3 linked regions of the Nothobranchius furzeri genome follow. The protein of the gene in region 3 binds, or shares a complex with, the protein of the main gene of each other region. Links are inferred from orthologs where the notes say so. Each region holds a gene or a part of one and is shown on either strand. Other genes may lie near its edges.

What was found. Proteins that work in one complex are often made in the same cells at the same time.
Region 1: the proteins of fga (region 3) and fgb are in contact, whole or in part, in a crystal structure (PDB 3GHG), measured with the Homo sapiens proteins. The link is inferred for Nothobranchius furzeri from reciprocal best matches to the Homo sapiens genes FGA and FGB. Residues at the interface, in NP_000499.1 of Homo sapiens: Ser66, Gly67, Cys68, Arg69, Met70, Lys71, Gly72, Leu73, Ile74, Asp75, Glu76, Asn78, Ile85, Leu88, Lys89, Leu92, Gln96, Leu113, Phe117, Tyr127, Arg135, Ile138, Leu141, Lys142, Val145, Lys148, Ile152, Gln156, Val159, Gln162; in NP_005132.2 of Homo sapiens: Ala89, Pro90, Asp91, Ala92, Gly93, Gly94, Leu105, Cys106, Pro107, Gln111, Leu112, Leu116, Gln119, Ile123, Ser126, Leu130, Val134, Val137, Trp155, Arg158, Gln159, Val162, Asn170, Tyr172, Ser173, Glu175, Leu176, His179, Gln180, Tyr182.
Region 2: the proteins of fga (region 3) and fgg are in contact, whole or in part, in a crystal structure (PDB 3GHG), measured with the Homo sapiens proteins. The link is inferred for Nothobranchius furzeri from reciprocal best matches to the Homo sapiens genes FGA and FGG. Residues at the interface, in NP_000499.1 of Homo sapiens: Trp60, Asn61, Lys63, Cys64, Pro65, Ser66, Gly67, Met70, Leu73, Ile74, Val77, Asn78, Phe81, Arg84, Ile85, Leu88, Ser91, Tyr95, Asn98, Leu105, Ile109, Ile112, Asp116, Ser119, Arg123, Asp124, Tyr127, Val130, Ser131, Asp133; in NP_068656.2 of Homo sapiens: Thr47, Thr48, Cys49, Gly50, Ile51, Ala52, Asp53, Leu55, Tyr58, Gln59, Val62, Asp63, Leu66, Gln67, Leu69, Glu70, Leu73, Thr80, Ile87, Ile90, Gln91, Tyr94, Glu98, Asp106, Ala107, Ala108, Thr109, Leu110, Ser112, Arg113.

What each region holds. Positions count from the first base shown.
Region 1 is NC_091742.1:90,743,014-90,747,927, forward strand, and holds the start of fgb (fibrinogen beta chain), read left to right. Parts: upstream 1-1,804; 5' UTR 1,805-1,814; intron 1,815-4,914. UniProt on the Homo sapiens protein: Cleaved by the protease thrombin to yield monomers which, together with fibrinogen alpha (FGA) and fibrinogen gamma (FGG), polymerize to form an insoluble fibrin matrix. Fibrin has a major function in hemostasis as one of the primary components of blood clots.
Region 2 is NC_091744.1:17,238,400-17,243,418, forward strand, and holds the start of fgg (fibrinogen gamma chain), read right to left. Parts: upstream 3,111-5,019; 5' UTR 3,017-3,110; coding exon 2,954-3,016; intron 2,878-2,953; coding exon 2,830-2,877; intron 2,750-2,829; coding exon 2,563-2,749; intron 2,431-2,562; coding exon 2,346-2,430; intron 677-2,345; coding exon 546-676; intron 273-545; coding exon 139-272; intron 25-138; coding exon 1-24. UniProt on the Homo sapiens protein: Together with fibrinogen alpha (FGA) and fibrinogen beta (FGB), polymerizes to form an insoluble fibrin matrix. Has a major function in hemostasis as one of the primary components of blood clots.
Region 3 is NC_091742.1:90,960,922-90,965,932, forward strand, and holds the start of fga (fibrinogen alpha chain), read right to left. Parts: upstream 3,014-5,011; 5' UTR 2,908-3,013; coding exon 2,857-2,907; intron 1,700-2,856; coding exon 1,592-1,699; intron 1,386-1,591; coding exon 1,202-1,385; intron 1,080-1,201; coding exon 934-1,079; intron 522-933; coding exon 423-521; intron 352-422; coding exon 199-351; intron 1-198. UniProt on the Homo sapiens protein: Cleaved by the protease thrombin to yield monomers which, together with fibrinogen beta (FGB) and fibrinogen gamma (FGG), polymerize to form an insoluble fibrin matrix. Fibrin has a major function in hemostasis as one of the primary components of blood clots.

The DNA.
Region 1 (4,914 bases), about 220 kb from region 3:
TAGGGAGCTCCAGACTGTCCTCTCCCCGGCCACCTCCACCAGCTCCTCCGGCAGGACCCCAAGGCGTTCCCGGACCAGATTAGAGATGTAACCTCTCCTACGTGTCCTGGGTCAACCCGGGGGCCTTCTGCCAGCAGGACATGTCTGAAACTCCTCCCCAGGGAGGCGTGCAGGAGGCATCCTGACCAGATGCCCAAACAACCTCAACTGACTCCTTTCGATCCGGAGGAGCAGCGGTTCTACTCTGAGTCACTCCTTAATGCCCGAGCTCCTCGCCCTATCTTTAAGGCTTAGCCCAGCCACCCTACGGAGGAAACTCATTTCGGCCGCTTGTATCCGCGATCTTGTTCTTTCGGTCATTACCCAAAGCTCATGACCATAGGTGAGGTTTTGGACGTAGATCGACCGCATCACTGCAGACGCCGAACCAATCCGCCTGTCAATTTCCAGATCCCTCCTACCCTCACTCGTGAACAAGACCCCATGATACTTAAACTCCTCCACTTGAGGTAGGACCTCTCTCCCGACCCAGAGATAGCAAGCCACCCTTTTCCGGTCGAGAACCATGGTCTCAGATTTGGAGGTGCTGATCCTCATCCCAGCCGCTTCACACTCGGCCGCGAACCTACCCAGCAAGAGCTGAAGGTCAGAGCTGGATGACGCTAGGAGGACCACATCATCCGCAAAAGCAGAGACGAGATTCTCCTGCCACCAAACTCGACACACTCCACATCACGGCTGCGCCTAGAAATTCTGTCCATAAAGGTAATGAACAGAACCGGTGACAAAATGCAGGCCTAGCGGAGTCCAACCCTCACTGGGAACAGGTCCGACTTACTACCAGCTTTGCAGACCAAACTCACGCTCCTCTGGTAAAGGGACTGAGTGGCCCTTAACAGAAAGCCACCTACCCTATACTCCTGGAGCGTCCCCCACAGGGTGCCCCTGGGGACATGGTCCTAAGCCTTCTCCAAATCCACAAAACACACGTGGATTGGTTGGGCAAACTCCCATGCCCCCTCCATCACCCTTGCAAGGGTATAGAGCTGGTCCACAGTTCCACGGCCAGGACGAAAACCACATTGCTCCTCCTCAATCCGAGATTCAACTATCGATCGGACCCTCTTCTCCAGTACCTTGGAGTAGACCTTTCCAGGGAGGCTTAGGAGTGTGATCCCCCTATAGTTGGAACACACCCTCAGGTCACCCTTCTTAAAGATGGGGACCACCACCCCGGTCTGCCACTCCACAGGAACTGCCGCCGATGACCACCCAATGTTGCAGAGACGTGTCAACCACGACAGCCCTACAACATCCATAGCCTTGAGATACCCAGGACGAATCTCATCTGCCCCCGGTGCTTCGTCGCTGTGTAGTTGTTTGACTACCTCAGCAACTTCTGCCCCTGAGATTGGACAGTCCATCCCCAGGTCTCCTGGCTCTGGTTCCTCCTCGGAATGTGCATAGGTGGGATTGAGGAGCTCCTCAAAGTATTTCCTCCACCATACGACTATTGCCCCAGTTGATGTCAGCAGCTCCCCATCCCCACTGTAAACAGTGTGAGCAAGTTGCTGCCTACCTCTCCTGAGGCGCCGGACAGTTTGCCAGAACCTCTTTGGAGCCGATCGATAGTCTTTCTCCATGGCCTCACCAAACCAAGACTTTGCCTCGGCAACTGCCACTGCTGCACGCCGCTTGGCTATCCGGTGCATGTCTGCTGCCTCCGGAGACCCACAGACCAGCCACTCCCTGTAGGCCTCCTTCTTCAGCCTGACAGCTCCCCGAACCTCTGGTGTCCACCAGCGAGTACGGGGGTTGCTACCATGACTGGCACCGGCCACCTTGCGACCACAGCTAGCAACAGCCGTCTGAACAATCACAGAGTGGAACAAGGCCCACTCTGAGTCAATGTCCCCCACTGCTCTCGGGATGCGGTCAAAGTTCTGCCGGAGGTGGGAGTTGAAGACCGTCTTGACAGGTTCTTCTGTCAGGCGTTCCCAGCAGACCCTCGCTATTTGTTTGCGTCTGCCAGGTCTACGTGGCATCTTCCCCTGCCATCTGATCCAACTCACCACCAGGTGGTGATCAGTTGACAGCTCCGCTCCTCTCTTCATTCGGGTGTCCAAAACATACGGCCGCAGGTCAGATGATACGACTACAAAAAACCAAGTGTACCGATGTGCATCCTTATGTTCGAACATGGTGTTCGTTATGGCCAAACTGCGGCTTGCACAGAAGTCCAATAATGAAACACCACTCGAGTTCAGATCAGGCGGGCCGTTCCTCCCAATCACACCCCTCCAGGTCAAGCTGTCATTGCCCACGTGAGCATTGAAGTCCCCCAGCAGGACAATTGAGTCGCCTGATGGAGCACTATCTAGCACTCGTCCCAGGGACACCAAAAAGGGTGGGTACTCTGAACTGATGTTTGCCCATAAGCACAAACAACAGTCAGGACATGTTCCCCTACCCAAAGAAGCAGGGAAGCTACCCTCTCGTCCTCCGGGGTAAACCCCAACACACAGGCAGAGAGTCTTGGGGCTAACAAAAAGCCAACCCCAGCCCTCCGCCTCTCACCCGGAGCAATTCCAGCAAAGGAGAGTGTCCAACCCCTCTCAAGGACTTGGGTTCCAGAGCCAATGCTATGTGTCGAGGTGAGTCCGACTATATCTAGCCGGTACTGCTCAACCTCTGCCATAAGCTCCTGCTCCTTCCCAGCCAGCGAGGTGACGTTCCATGTCCCAAAAACCAATTTCCTTGTCCGGGGATTGGACCGCCAAGGCTCCCGCCTTGGTCTGCCACCCGATCCACACACCCTTCATGTTCCTCCTGCGGGTGGTGGGTCCACAGTTGGATGAGCCCATGTATCCGGTTTGGGCTGGGTCCGGCCGGGCCCCATGGGCGAAAGCCCTTCACCAGGCGCTCGCTCACGGGCCCCAACCCCAGGCCTGGCTTCAGGGTGCGACCCCGGTAACCCTCCGGGCCAGGTACTCCGACTCTTTGAATTTACATTCATGAAAGATCCTCTGAACGATCCTCTGAACCGTTCTTTGTCTCACCCTTCACCTAAGACCAATTTGTCTTGGGAGACTCTGCCAGGGGCACAAATTGCCCCAGACAACATAGCTCCTAGGATCATTAGTGCACTCAAACTCCTCCACCACGATAAGGTGATGTTTCAAGGAGGAGCCAACTCGGCTTCCAAATGGTAACATTTAAATTAAAAAAATCACAATAAACTTTTATTGTTTGTTGAAAATAAAGATATGTCATTGGAAGTCCAAATATTCAAATCAAAATAAAGTAAATATATAAATCTGAGGAAAAGTTGTCTGCTGTGGAACGATCACATCATTAGAAGTTCAATTTTTTCTGACAAGCATAATTCAGGTTTTTATAATAAATAAGGACAGCAATGAGTGACCAGCTTAAACAAACTCCACGTAGACCTCCAACAGAGTCATTGCACATTTTTATTATTACTTCAGCTCAGAATTAAAATAACAATACAGTAAACCACTGCACACAAATAAGGGATTAATGAGATAAACTTCCAAATATGTACCTTTTTTATTAATATTGTAACAAGGAAAATTCTTTCCCACTTTGAGGGTTGCTGGTGTAATCCCACCTTCCTTCATCATGTGTTTCATTAAATATAGATGATTTGTTGTCTCAATATGACCTTTCTGGCATTAAAAGTTTAATGGTTGAAGGTAAAAATCACCAGAATGATGTCAAATCATCAGAAATTACACTTAAAGGATTAAAAGTGGCCTCAAATAGTGAAAAAGTACAAAACCAATAAAAATACCTGAAATAATCTAGAAAGACATTTTAAAGACTGAGATTAAATTATGTGAAGAATCTCAGTCGGTGACATTCTGAAACAAAGATGTTTCATGCTAACTCACCGTGCTGCTTTCAGATAGTTTTCCGCTGCTGGTGGTGGAAGTGTTTAGTGTGCAAATAAAATTGGGGGGCAGGCTGCCACAGGAATGTGGAAATGGGGTCTATACCTGCACCCCCTGACCCCCTTTCCCCCCCAAAAGTCCTATGTGCATGTTTGTGTGATGATGTGAGGGAGCAGGAGGAGAAAAATGTGTGGGGATGGGGAAGAATGGCTGGTTGGCCTAAGCCCTCCAGGGAGTCAGCTCCCCCACTGGCCCTAATAGGCACCTCCGTTGCCAAAATGCCACCCAGGGCATGAAGATCCCATCCCATCTCACGGAACAGTTTTAAGGCTCAGGCTGAGGCCTTTCCACGGAGCTAGCTATGTGATCACGTGGGTCGGATGCTCATTAATTATTCAGAATTTTAGGCTTTTACTACACTTAAACAGAAGAGTGAGTAAACCCCCCCCCCCCCCCCCCCCCCGAGTTGTCATGAGTGTAAACTAGATATTTTAAACCTAAACGTGTTTTGGAACCAGGCTGTAAACATGTTTATTTCTGCTGTGAAATTGGTATTTTTATAATGGGAGTCAATGAGGATTAGCTCACTTCTGACAGCTGCCCCTAGTGGATGAGGGTGGAACTGTTTCACTTCTGTGTTGGCTTCAATTTCATACCTGAATTATGGGGTCTTGTTTGTAACCTGCTACTCTGTTTCAGACAAACAGGAAATGAATATTTTTACACATTTCAGCCAAACTGCTGTTAAAATAAAAAGTAGTTTTGCACATTTTCTAATTTTAGGAAATTTAAATGTGACAAAATAGTTTAAAGCAGCTAAAAAGAAATAAACAAACTACAACCTTGTATTAAAGCCTGGAACCTTCAAGTCGTTATTGGTTGTTTAGGTCAAAACTAACCAACCAGAGGAAGTCAGGGTGTTCATTTCTGAAGGCTTGTCACAAGTTAGTGGTAAAATGATGAAGTAAAACCGTAATCTGACTTCCTGTCAGTAGCAGAC
Region 2 (5,019 bases), on a different chromosome or scaffold from region 3:
GAAGTTCAAGGCGCCGTTGCGTCTCTGTGGACATGAAAAATGAAACAAATCCAGTTTTGAATGTTTGGAAATCTTTTATGTCTCTCTGGAAGAAAAACATGCATGAGCAAAAGCAAGAAGGAGAAAGGTGATCCATACCCTCTGGATCACAGTGAAGCCTCTTCCGGAGCTGTCAATCTCACAGTAGACCAAGAACTGCTCTTGTGCTTTTATTGGCTTCACATAGTAAAGACCGCTAGTGGTAGCACCTTTGTTTGCAACATCCTGGCAGTCTGAAGAGAAGAAAATAAATCAACTCAAACATGTTGAGACGAAGTTCCTTTACTTAATTTGATGAGACTCATAAATGAAAGGTTAAGGCTAAACGATTAGGGCTAAAATGAGCACGTGTCCTCTGCTTGGATGATGCATATTGATTTCAGCCTTTGAATAAACACTGAACTGGGACAAATGTTGTTCAGTTGAGGGCAGATTGAGAAACTTATTGTGAAACAGGAATGGCCTGAAGGTCAGAGTGTGTCAATGTGTCTTTTTTTTTTTTTTACCTGTTCCTGTGGTAGTTTGGATCTCAACTGTGTCTCTGCAGGGTTCACTGCATTTTTGCTGCAGCTGCATTGCAAGCGTCTTCAGATCCCCCATTGTCCTCTCATTAGAGGAGATTAAATCGTTAAGCTCCCTGGAAACAGCGTCACAAACATGGGTTGTGTCTAAAAGTCACTTTATTGCTTTGTAACCACAACTTTGGAAATATGCCAGTAAGGATTGTCATGTTTATTATTGACAGTGGAGACAAATGGAGAAAAAAAAATGAAGAAGAATAAACTAAGAATGAAACTGAGAAAAAAATGGGCTGGGAAATTTCTCAATGGCTTGATTTAAAGGGGACATGATATACAAAACCACCTTTTGCATCCTTTAGTGTTAGCAGGCAGATCTCTACTGCCTCTATAAAAACTCCACATGTAGCAAAAATGCATTGATGCGTTTTTTTTTGTCAGGGTTTGGTTTTGAGAATGATGTGCCTAAAACAATCCGTTTCAAAAGGCCCTCGTTTGTAAGGTCACAAACTGGGAAATTAGAATAGAACCACTTCTCACATGTAAGAGAGGGCTGCTGCTGGAGGAGCAGCAGTTCTACTCCAAGCCCCTCCCAGACATCAGAGCTTCTCAGCCTATAGGAGCCTGAGCAAGGTTGGGTGGGCATGGCCAGCTCCAGTTTGTGATAGAGACCTTGAAACGGCTCATTATGGAAGTTCTGGATCTGACAAATATAAAAATCTCTGAGAAGGCTTCATGTGAGAAGATTTCAGTGCAAACAACTTTAAAAACACGTCTTGTATCGAATATGTAACTTAAGAAAAATAATTATATATTGTATCTGTATAATTTGTTTTGAAATAGATTTTCAAAAAGTTTTTACTTCTTCCAGATGACTGAAATTACTTTTCTATTATGAATGATGACTACAATGTTCTAAAAGGTGTCACAGTTTTTGAGAGTGTTCTTTTTGGATAAAATACAAGACAAAAAAGTAAAAGAATATAACAACTCACTAATACATGAAGCTGGAGGATATGAGTTGTGACGCCTCAAAAGGCATTTATGTCATTTATATTTTATGTTTCATTTAAAGTTATTCATTTGTATGTTTTTAAGTTATAAAGAACAGTGAATAGGTTAAAATGTTAAATGGGAAGATTTTATTTTGAAGGTGAACTTACTAATAATCTCACTTCCTGCTGGGTTACCTGTATTGGTTAATTTCCTGTTTACCTCCTCTTACTGGCTGCTCTGAGAGTGAGAGTGGCATGCGGTCATGCTCTGAGGCTTATCCACAGCCAACCACTTGGGAATGTTGTTAAAAAATACAAAAACAAAACTATTTTATTTGTGTTCCACAATGATTGATTTGTACATGTTAAAAGAGGAATTTGTTTGATGGTCATTTTCTTTCCTCAGGCTAATACAATTACGTCAAGTCTTATTTTGAGCTAGTTTGTGAGGCAATATTTATGTAAACATGATAATTTATTCTGTTCTGTATTTGTTTTCAATTACAGTTTTCACCGCTTGTCAAATGAAGGCTCTAAGAGTAAAAGGTCAACTCTACTCTGACTCCTTTACTATTTGACAAAGGTTTAGCTTGGTGTTTACTCAGAGTTGCTACACTGCAACAGGACACTACATGAGTGTTTTAAAAGAAAGACGCACGCATTAGTTTACTTTCTACAAATAAACTAATGAAAAGATGTGAAATATTGAACTAAAAACTGTAAAATAACATTTAGCTGACATCATGTCCTCACACACTAGAAACATAACGTCTAAATGCTGACCGTAACTCACAGAATTTGCTGTTCTTGTGCAATAATAGTCTTTTCAAACCGAAGGACATCATCCAGCATGCTGGAGGACCTCTTAAAGTACGGATCTGAAAATCCCAACAAACCAGATTAGTGACACAAACAATCCTCTCGTGTAAAATCTCATCTGTGTTTTACTGAACATATAAAACACTAAGGATAAAATCTAAACTGGAGTCTGAACCAGATGATGATGTCACCTGTCAGTGAAGATTTCTGAGCTGAAGTGGCCGAGTCTCGCATGTACACAATGGTTTCATCGGCTCCTTGAGTCAAATTTGTGATGGTCTCCAGTTCTGCTTGCATCGTCTTCAGGTCCTCGTTGACTCCAGGAAAATACCTCAGAAAGTAATCAGCAACGCCACACGTGGTGGGGCAATACTTCCCCTGAATAAATACAGAAACAAAAAGTTAGACTGCAAAAAAAAATCACTAAGTATGAGTTTGTGATGAAGTTAGACACTTACAAAGCCATCATTCATGTTGCATGATGCACTATTGTCTCCTCTGACTTGCTGCACACATAAAAACAAACGTCAGTATAATTTTTCTTCACGAATAAACATTTTACATAAAATTAAAGCCACTTACAGCTGAAGAGAGTGAGAAAAGTAGGAGAAGAACTCCTGTTGTTGCTTCTAGTGATGATGCCATGCTGATTCAGCCACCAGTTTGTGGTTTTTTGGGAGAGTGAAGAGCTGCTGGACTCCGAGGGTTATTTATCTGAACAAGGTCCCCCGATCAACCTTTGATAAGAGTGTCCACATGCAAACATCCCACTCACTTTGTTGTTCCAGACCTGTGAGTCAAACGTCCGACCGCAGCTGATTCCCAGATGTGACGCTTTCGAATGGACAGTTGGGTTTAGAACATCTGCGTGAGTGTGTGTTGGTTAGAGGTCCTGTGTGAATGATGACACAGGTGTGTTTTGTTCTTTTTGCTCATATTTTCCCGTCAAGATAGTAATTTATTTGGTACATTAGTAAAATCTTTACTTCATTGATTTAAAATTGATTTAATGAAGGGCTGCTGGTGAAGTATATGCTACGTTTTGGCCTTCATTTGCAGCTGGTGGCATTTGTGAGCACACTAGTTCTTGAATAACTCCACTGGTGCAAGCTTGACTTTTCTCATATCAGCTGCAGCTTCAGGATAAACATTACCCATTAGGGCAGCAGCAGCTTAACAGGTTGAGCGGGTTGTCCAGTTATCGGAAGGTTGCAGGTTTGATCCCGGCTCCGGACAGAGAATTCTGCTGTTGTGTCCTTGGGCAAGACACTTTACCCACCTTGCCTGCTGGTGGTGGTCGAAGGGACCGGTGGCGCCTGTGCTCGGCAGCCTCGCCTCTGTCAGTGCGTCCCAGGGCAGCTGTGGCTACATCAGGGCTCATTACCATCAGTGTGTGAATGTGTGTGTGAATGGATGAATGATACACTGTAGTGTAAAGCGCTTTGGAGTCCTTACTCTGAGAGGCGCTATACAGGTGCGGGTCATGTATCATTTACCCCCAAAGTATCCCTCAGTAATAATATGTATTAAATAAACCTGAGCTATCAACGGGGCTTGCTGTTCTTTCAGTGTGTCTGCTTTTGTGTTCTTCACTAAATAGGATCTTTTCCAATCTGATTTTCATTTTAGTAAAATGTGGGACTGTACGTAACAAGAAAGGAGAAATTTCATGTATTTTAAACAGTTTTCTACTTTGCTACAAGTTAAAATATGTGATTGTTTATACTGTGAACCCCAACATCTTCTTGAAAGGCTCATGAACTTGGTGGGACTATATGACACAGTCCATAGTTGGTTCATATCTCACAGACAGGGGTTATGTTGTTTCTATAGGTGATCACAAAGCAAAGCAGATCACCATGACACGTGGGGTCCCCCAAGGCTCAATTCTTGGACCACTGCTCTTCAATCTCGACATGCTCCCCTTGGGTAAGGTATTATGCAACATTATCTGTAGGAGCCATATGTGTTTTCATTTTCTTTCTGCATACCTGAGAGGAGGCTTGGCCTCATTTGATTGGTCAATTGATTGTGGAAGCACCAGCCTACTTAAGCCAACACAGATTAGACTCAGGTGTTGCTGTGATGGGACAAACAGTTTTTTATTGTGTGGCTGTGTGTAACGGACTCTGCGGACTGTCATTGGGGCAAGTAATGCATTCACTGTAAACCACTTTAATTGCAAGTAAATGGATCATGGACATTTTGGAACAAGACAAAATAATAAACATCATCAGAAATAAACACAAGCTGCAATTCTTTTAAACACATGTAAAGACCACCACCCGCATCAGTAACCAGTAGTGCCAGTGTATAGGGCATTGGTATTACATTTCATTATTTATCATAGATATGTAGTTGACCTAAAGATCTCCCTAGCTCTATCACCTAGGGCAGCGGTATTCAACTCCGGGTCCAGGTCTTCTGCTGCACCTTCTGCACTGTAACTGTTTAACTTAGACTTTTAATCTTATTCTTACTACCAATTTTATTGGTATTTTAAAATTTGATTTTATAATCTGCTGTTGTCACGTTGATTTTAATGCTTTTTGTTCTTTCTGATTTTGCACCTGGAAAGGACATTGAATTGTTTCTGTGTCTGAAAGGTGCTATATAAATAAAGCTGCCTTGCCTTTTTTATCTTTCTG
Region 3 (5,011 bases):
TGACCTAATTTGCAGGACTTGTGTTTTTGATTAACTGATTAAATGTGTATCTTGTGCATTTGCTGGTCTGGAGCATTCAGGCGTGTTATCACAACGTCAAAGAGGATGCAGATCTCTGTATTTTGCTGTCAGGCTGCTGCCGATCTTCTCAGGTGTTTTTCTTCACCCCAAGACCTTCTGGACTCGAGTTCTTCTCACCTCAGAGAAGACGTCGTCTTTCTTCTGACCTCCTACATCCTTGGATTTGAATCTGGTTTCTGCAGCTGCAGTCTGCAGAGAGCTGGTCTTCATCACATACAGCGTCCCGACCGACTCGACGCTCTGGGCCGACTGGGCCTCCAGCTGCCTCATCTGAGGGAGGGTGCCAAGAATGAGTCCGGCTGAAATTCCTCCTCACAAAGGTCCGATTTATCCTGATTTACCTGTTTATCCAGGTTGACGTAGCTCTCCTTGTCCACCTGGTACTCGCTGTACCCACCACAGGAACCTTTGCAGGAACGGAGCTTAATGTCGATGTCAACCTGACAGAAGACAAGGTTGGAGAGATGAATCTGGGCAGCAAATACTCAGATAACCCTGCACCAGTCAGGTAGCTCTGATGTTAATCTATCTATAACTAGACTAGAGTTTTTGGTGGCAGCAGAACAACATTTAAAGCTTTGTGGGAACTTCATGGAAAATTGGACGTTATTTGTTACAGAATGAATTTAAACTCCGGTTAGACTCCTCTGATGTTTGCTTCTAAACAGCAGGAGGATCTTTTGGGTCTAATAGGTGTTTTTGTTGTTTTAGTAACAGGAAATTACCTAATTTAGCTAATAGTTTGATGTTCTGTTTGTTAATCTTTATATTTTCTATGTTCAGATAAAAACAGCTGATTCGTGTCGTTTTCAGGACTAAGACTTTGTTTTTGTCCCTGCAGACTCTCCGTACCTCCAGCCTCTGCATCTCGGTGACCTGGTTTTTGACCCGATTCTTCAGGGCAGCCAGAGTGTTCATCTGATTGTCGATCCTGATCTTCATGTCGGTGATCCTCTGTCGGAGGCTTTGGGCCAGGTCGTAGTAGTTGTTGTTGTTTCCTGTAGTCAAACATGTTCATGATCAGCTCCAACCAAACACCCTCCTACCTTCTCCGAGTCTGTTTCTCCTCGCTTTCCTTCTTAAAGTGTGTCAGATATGAAAGGTTTCTCCTCAAACGGACCAGAATCGGTGGTGAGTCTGTCCCGTAGGTAGTCGTAGGTCTGTTTGGACACCTGGTCGGTGGAGCGATGCTTGGCCTTGTTCTGGTTCAGGAGGCTGCGGATCTTCTCGATCTTCTTCAGCAGCTCATGGTCCGCTTTATCCATCAAGCCCTGAATCCTGCAGCCTGACGGGCATTTGGAGAGCTGGTGGAGCACAAAGCAACAGTTTGAGCGTCAGACACCAAGGAGGGATTAAAATCTGTGGAAGGCTCTTCGTGCCACTAAAGACATTTAATCTGTCATGTGAGAAGTTGGAATTAAGAGTTTCAACGTTGGAGTGATCCTTCCTGCTCTCCTGAGCATCAGCAGCTCTGACGGGTGGATTATGAGGTGATGAAGAGCAGAATTACCCAGTCATCATCGGTGCAGAAGGGCCACTCCTTCTGGGTGGAACATTTGTCTGATCGGGTAGCAGGCTCCACAGGACGGGCTCCTCTCGGGTCAACCTGAGACGCAACCTGTAGTAGATGAAATGGACACTAATGTAGCACCAGAGTGGAAGACCCTAGCACGCACCTGTTCACCCGATGAACCACGTCTCGTTCAGGGGTCTGAAATCTGCGGCTCTGGAGCTACTAGTAGCTCGGTGGGCCTTCCACCACGGCTCCTGGTTACTTTAAATGTAGATAAAATAAAAAAAATGCAGCTTTTCGGTTTTTGTGTCCAAAGACGACATCATGGTTCTCTCTTATAACTGATATTTAGAGAAGATTCAGAGAAACAGTCACAATCCTAACTCTAATCTCAGAAGTCTGAGGCCTTGTTTTACGTTTCTCGGCAAATATAAATGATTTTAAACGCTCCTGCATCAGCTGCAGCTCTAAACCGATGTTCTTCCAGCGGTCTGGGTAGGTCCAGGTGGCTTTGTGGGTTTCTACTGGTTCATCTTAAATTCTAACTTTCTCAGTATAAAACAAACGTTTAAACACAAAACCTGATAAATATTATGAGATAACGAGGAAAACCTCTCAGATCTTCACTTAATATTCACCAGCAACTATTTTAATGTATTCATTATAATGTTCTGAAATGTCCCAGATATTTGGGAAGTAAAAGACGACCTTCTCAGAATACATTTGGTTCTGTTGTCAGAGGAAGAACGTTTGGGAATTTTTGAAATTTTCCTGTAATTTCTTCTCAATAAAACCAGAACATATGTCTTATTTATTTACTCAGCTCAGTCATTTTTTTCCTTCAGATTCAAGTAAATAATTCCGTTTTTTTCTATCAATTTTAAAGTCAGCCAGAAAAATATAATTATATTCTTGTAATTTCTGCCTTTAAATGAAAGATTTTAACATTTTTTACGAAATTATCAGGAAAAATGTAATTTCCTTTTATTCTACATTCACACTAATGGCATCCTCCAGTTTCTGCCCAGCCTTTATTATTATTAATTATTTATTATTATTATTATTATTATTATTGTTATTGTTATTATTATTATTATTTTTATAAAAGCTGCATTTTCATTCAATAACTCGTACAGACAAATAAACATTAAGAGTATCTGGTTCTAGATTTGGTCAAACAGGATGAATTTGACCAGTTAAACCAGTCAAACTTACAGGTGAGATCATTTCATGAATTTTCTAGAGGATAAAGTGGAGCTCACCTGAGTCACAGCAACACACACCAGACAGACCAGTAACCTCATCATCTTCATCTCTCTGGTTCTTCCTCTGAATGTTCCTGCTGCCCCGCTGCCGGGTCTTATCAAGCGTCCGACCTCAGAACCTCCGTCAGGTCCGGTCAGAGTTGAGCAACGACCTCCTGCTCACACCGACCGTCTGTTTGTTGTACTTAGTGTGTCTGAACTCACAAAACTAACACACAAAATACACAAAAACAACCCAAAACACACCGCTGAGTCAGCTGTTCCCACACAGGTGAGTAAAGCTGCAGGAACATCTGACCTGCTGACCCATCAGGGATCAGATCTCTTTTATAAATGTGTGTGTGTGTGTGTGTGTGTGTGTGTGTGTGTGTGTGTGTGTGTGTGTGTGTGTGTGTGTGTGTGTGTGTGTGTGTGTGTGTGTGTGTGTGTGTGTGTGTGTGTGTGCGTGTGTGTGTTTTCTGGGACTATGATGAAATTAGAACAGTTTAACACAGAAACCAGAACCAGCTTGGCTTCCTGGGGCTGGAGGAGGGAGATCTGGCCGTCTGGTTGGGGTCTGGGGTGGTGGGTTGCTGTGCTCAGCGTTGGGCGGGGGAACCTGCTCATCAGCACCCCAGCAGAAAGGGTCAAACTCTGGGAACCGGTAATGGTTGTACCCCATGTGCAGCAGTACCGGGACCAGAGTGAATAGGGTGTGTATGGGGAGCATGAGTGGGTGTCCGGCGTGCATTTTTGTAAGTCTTTGGTTGTATGTGCATGTGTGAGCATAAGGGAGGGAGTGTGTGACTGTGTTTGTGTATGACTGCATATGTCAGGTGGCGCCTTTGACTCCTCCCCTCTCCTGGGACTTCTTTTGATGATATAGATCTTCGCCTCCCCTCTGCCTGCCACACCTGGTGTGGGGTGTGGTGCCTTGGTCTGCCTGAGTGTTCGTGGCTCCCAGGTCAGGGGGTTTAAGATTTTTGGCGTTTGCCTGATCAATCCCGGTGGCTGCCTGGTGGGGTCTGGGTCCCTGGGCTCTGCTGGGTCCCCGGTGAGGGTGGTCGCCCCTGGGCCCCGGGCTTGGCCGGTTGCGGGGTGGGAGGCTGCGGGCGGGCCTGTGGGCTTGCCGCCGATATCTTCCAGAACTCCACCGGCTGCTGGTTGTGGCCACCCGAGGCTTTCCTCTGCGCCTCTCGAGGGGGGCAGGGGCTTTTCTTGTTGCGGTCTCCTTGGGGTTCCTGTGCTCTGGGGCAGCTCCCGGATCTCTGGGACTTGGAGCTCCCTCCATCTCCTACGTATCTTTGGGGGGAAGATCTGTGGCCCCTCATACTCTCTATTGGACGCTCCTATAGAAAAACCTTACATATACAAACGCGTGTACGCACACAGGTGCTCACATGGTGCTCTCATAAGTATGGACTTGGGCACGTTCAACACACGTCTTAAGGCTGTGGTTGGCACTAAATGCACTGTGATTTATTATCGTGTGATTGTTCAGTTAAACAATGTTGATTTTTACATTTCTTCATCAAGTTGACACAGTGATAGCTTACTCCTGTTGTATTGTTGTGTGTCCCATTTCTGCAGGTCTAGAAGCAGACTGTTCATCATTGATTGCTTATTTTCGTGCAACCCCTGTCACATGCTGCCACAAAACAAACTGCCTACAAGCAGCGTGTCTGAACTGGTGCTGTTCCAGCCATGGTGCAGGGCAATCCTCCAGAGCAAAAGTGTCATTCAGGCAGCCTGAGCCAACTGCAACACACCTTTCACTAAGATGTAGTAGTCCATGTACGCCATCGTACTGATGCATGCCTGTAGTGGTTGTCGGCAGCATTTTCTCTCCAGATCAGTGTCCGTCTCCCACATACCCACCAGTGGAGTCCAGCAGCTAATAGGCTCTGAATGCTGGGGCACGATGTCAAACAAGTTTTTACATCAATGTAAAGGTTTAATTTACATTTTATTTAATGAGCCATAAGACATTAGATTCCATAGTAAATATGAAATCAACCTTATGGATCTGTGGGTACTGTTTAACCAGAAGATTGGAACTTTTTATTGCAGGGATTATGTAACAACTTCGTATTCACTCAGAGACAACAGAAGAGAGAGTCAAGTTTTAAAAGTTTAAAGATTTATTACTAAACAAATTAAAACTAGACTAACT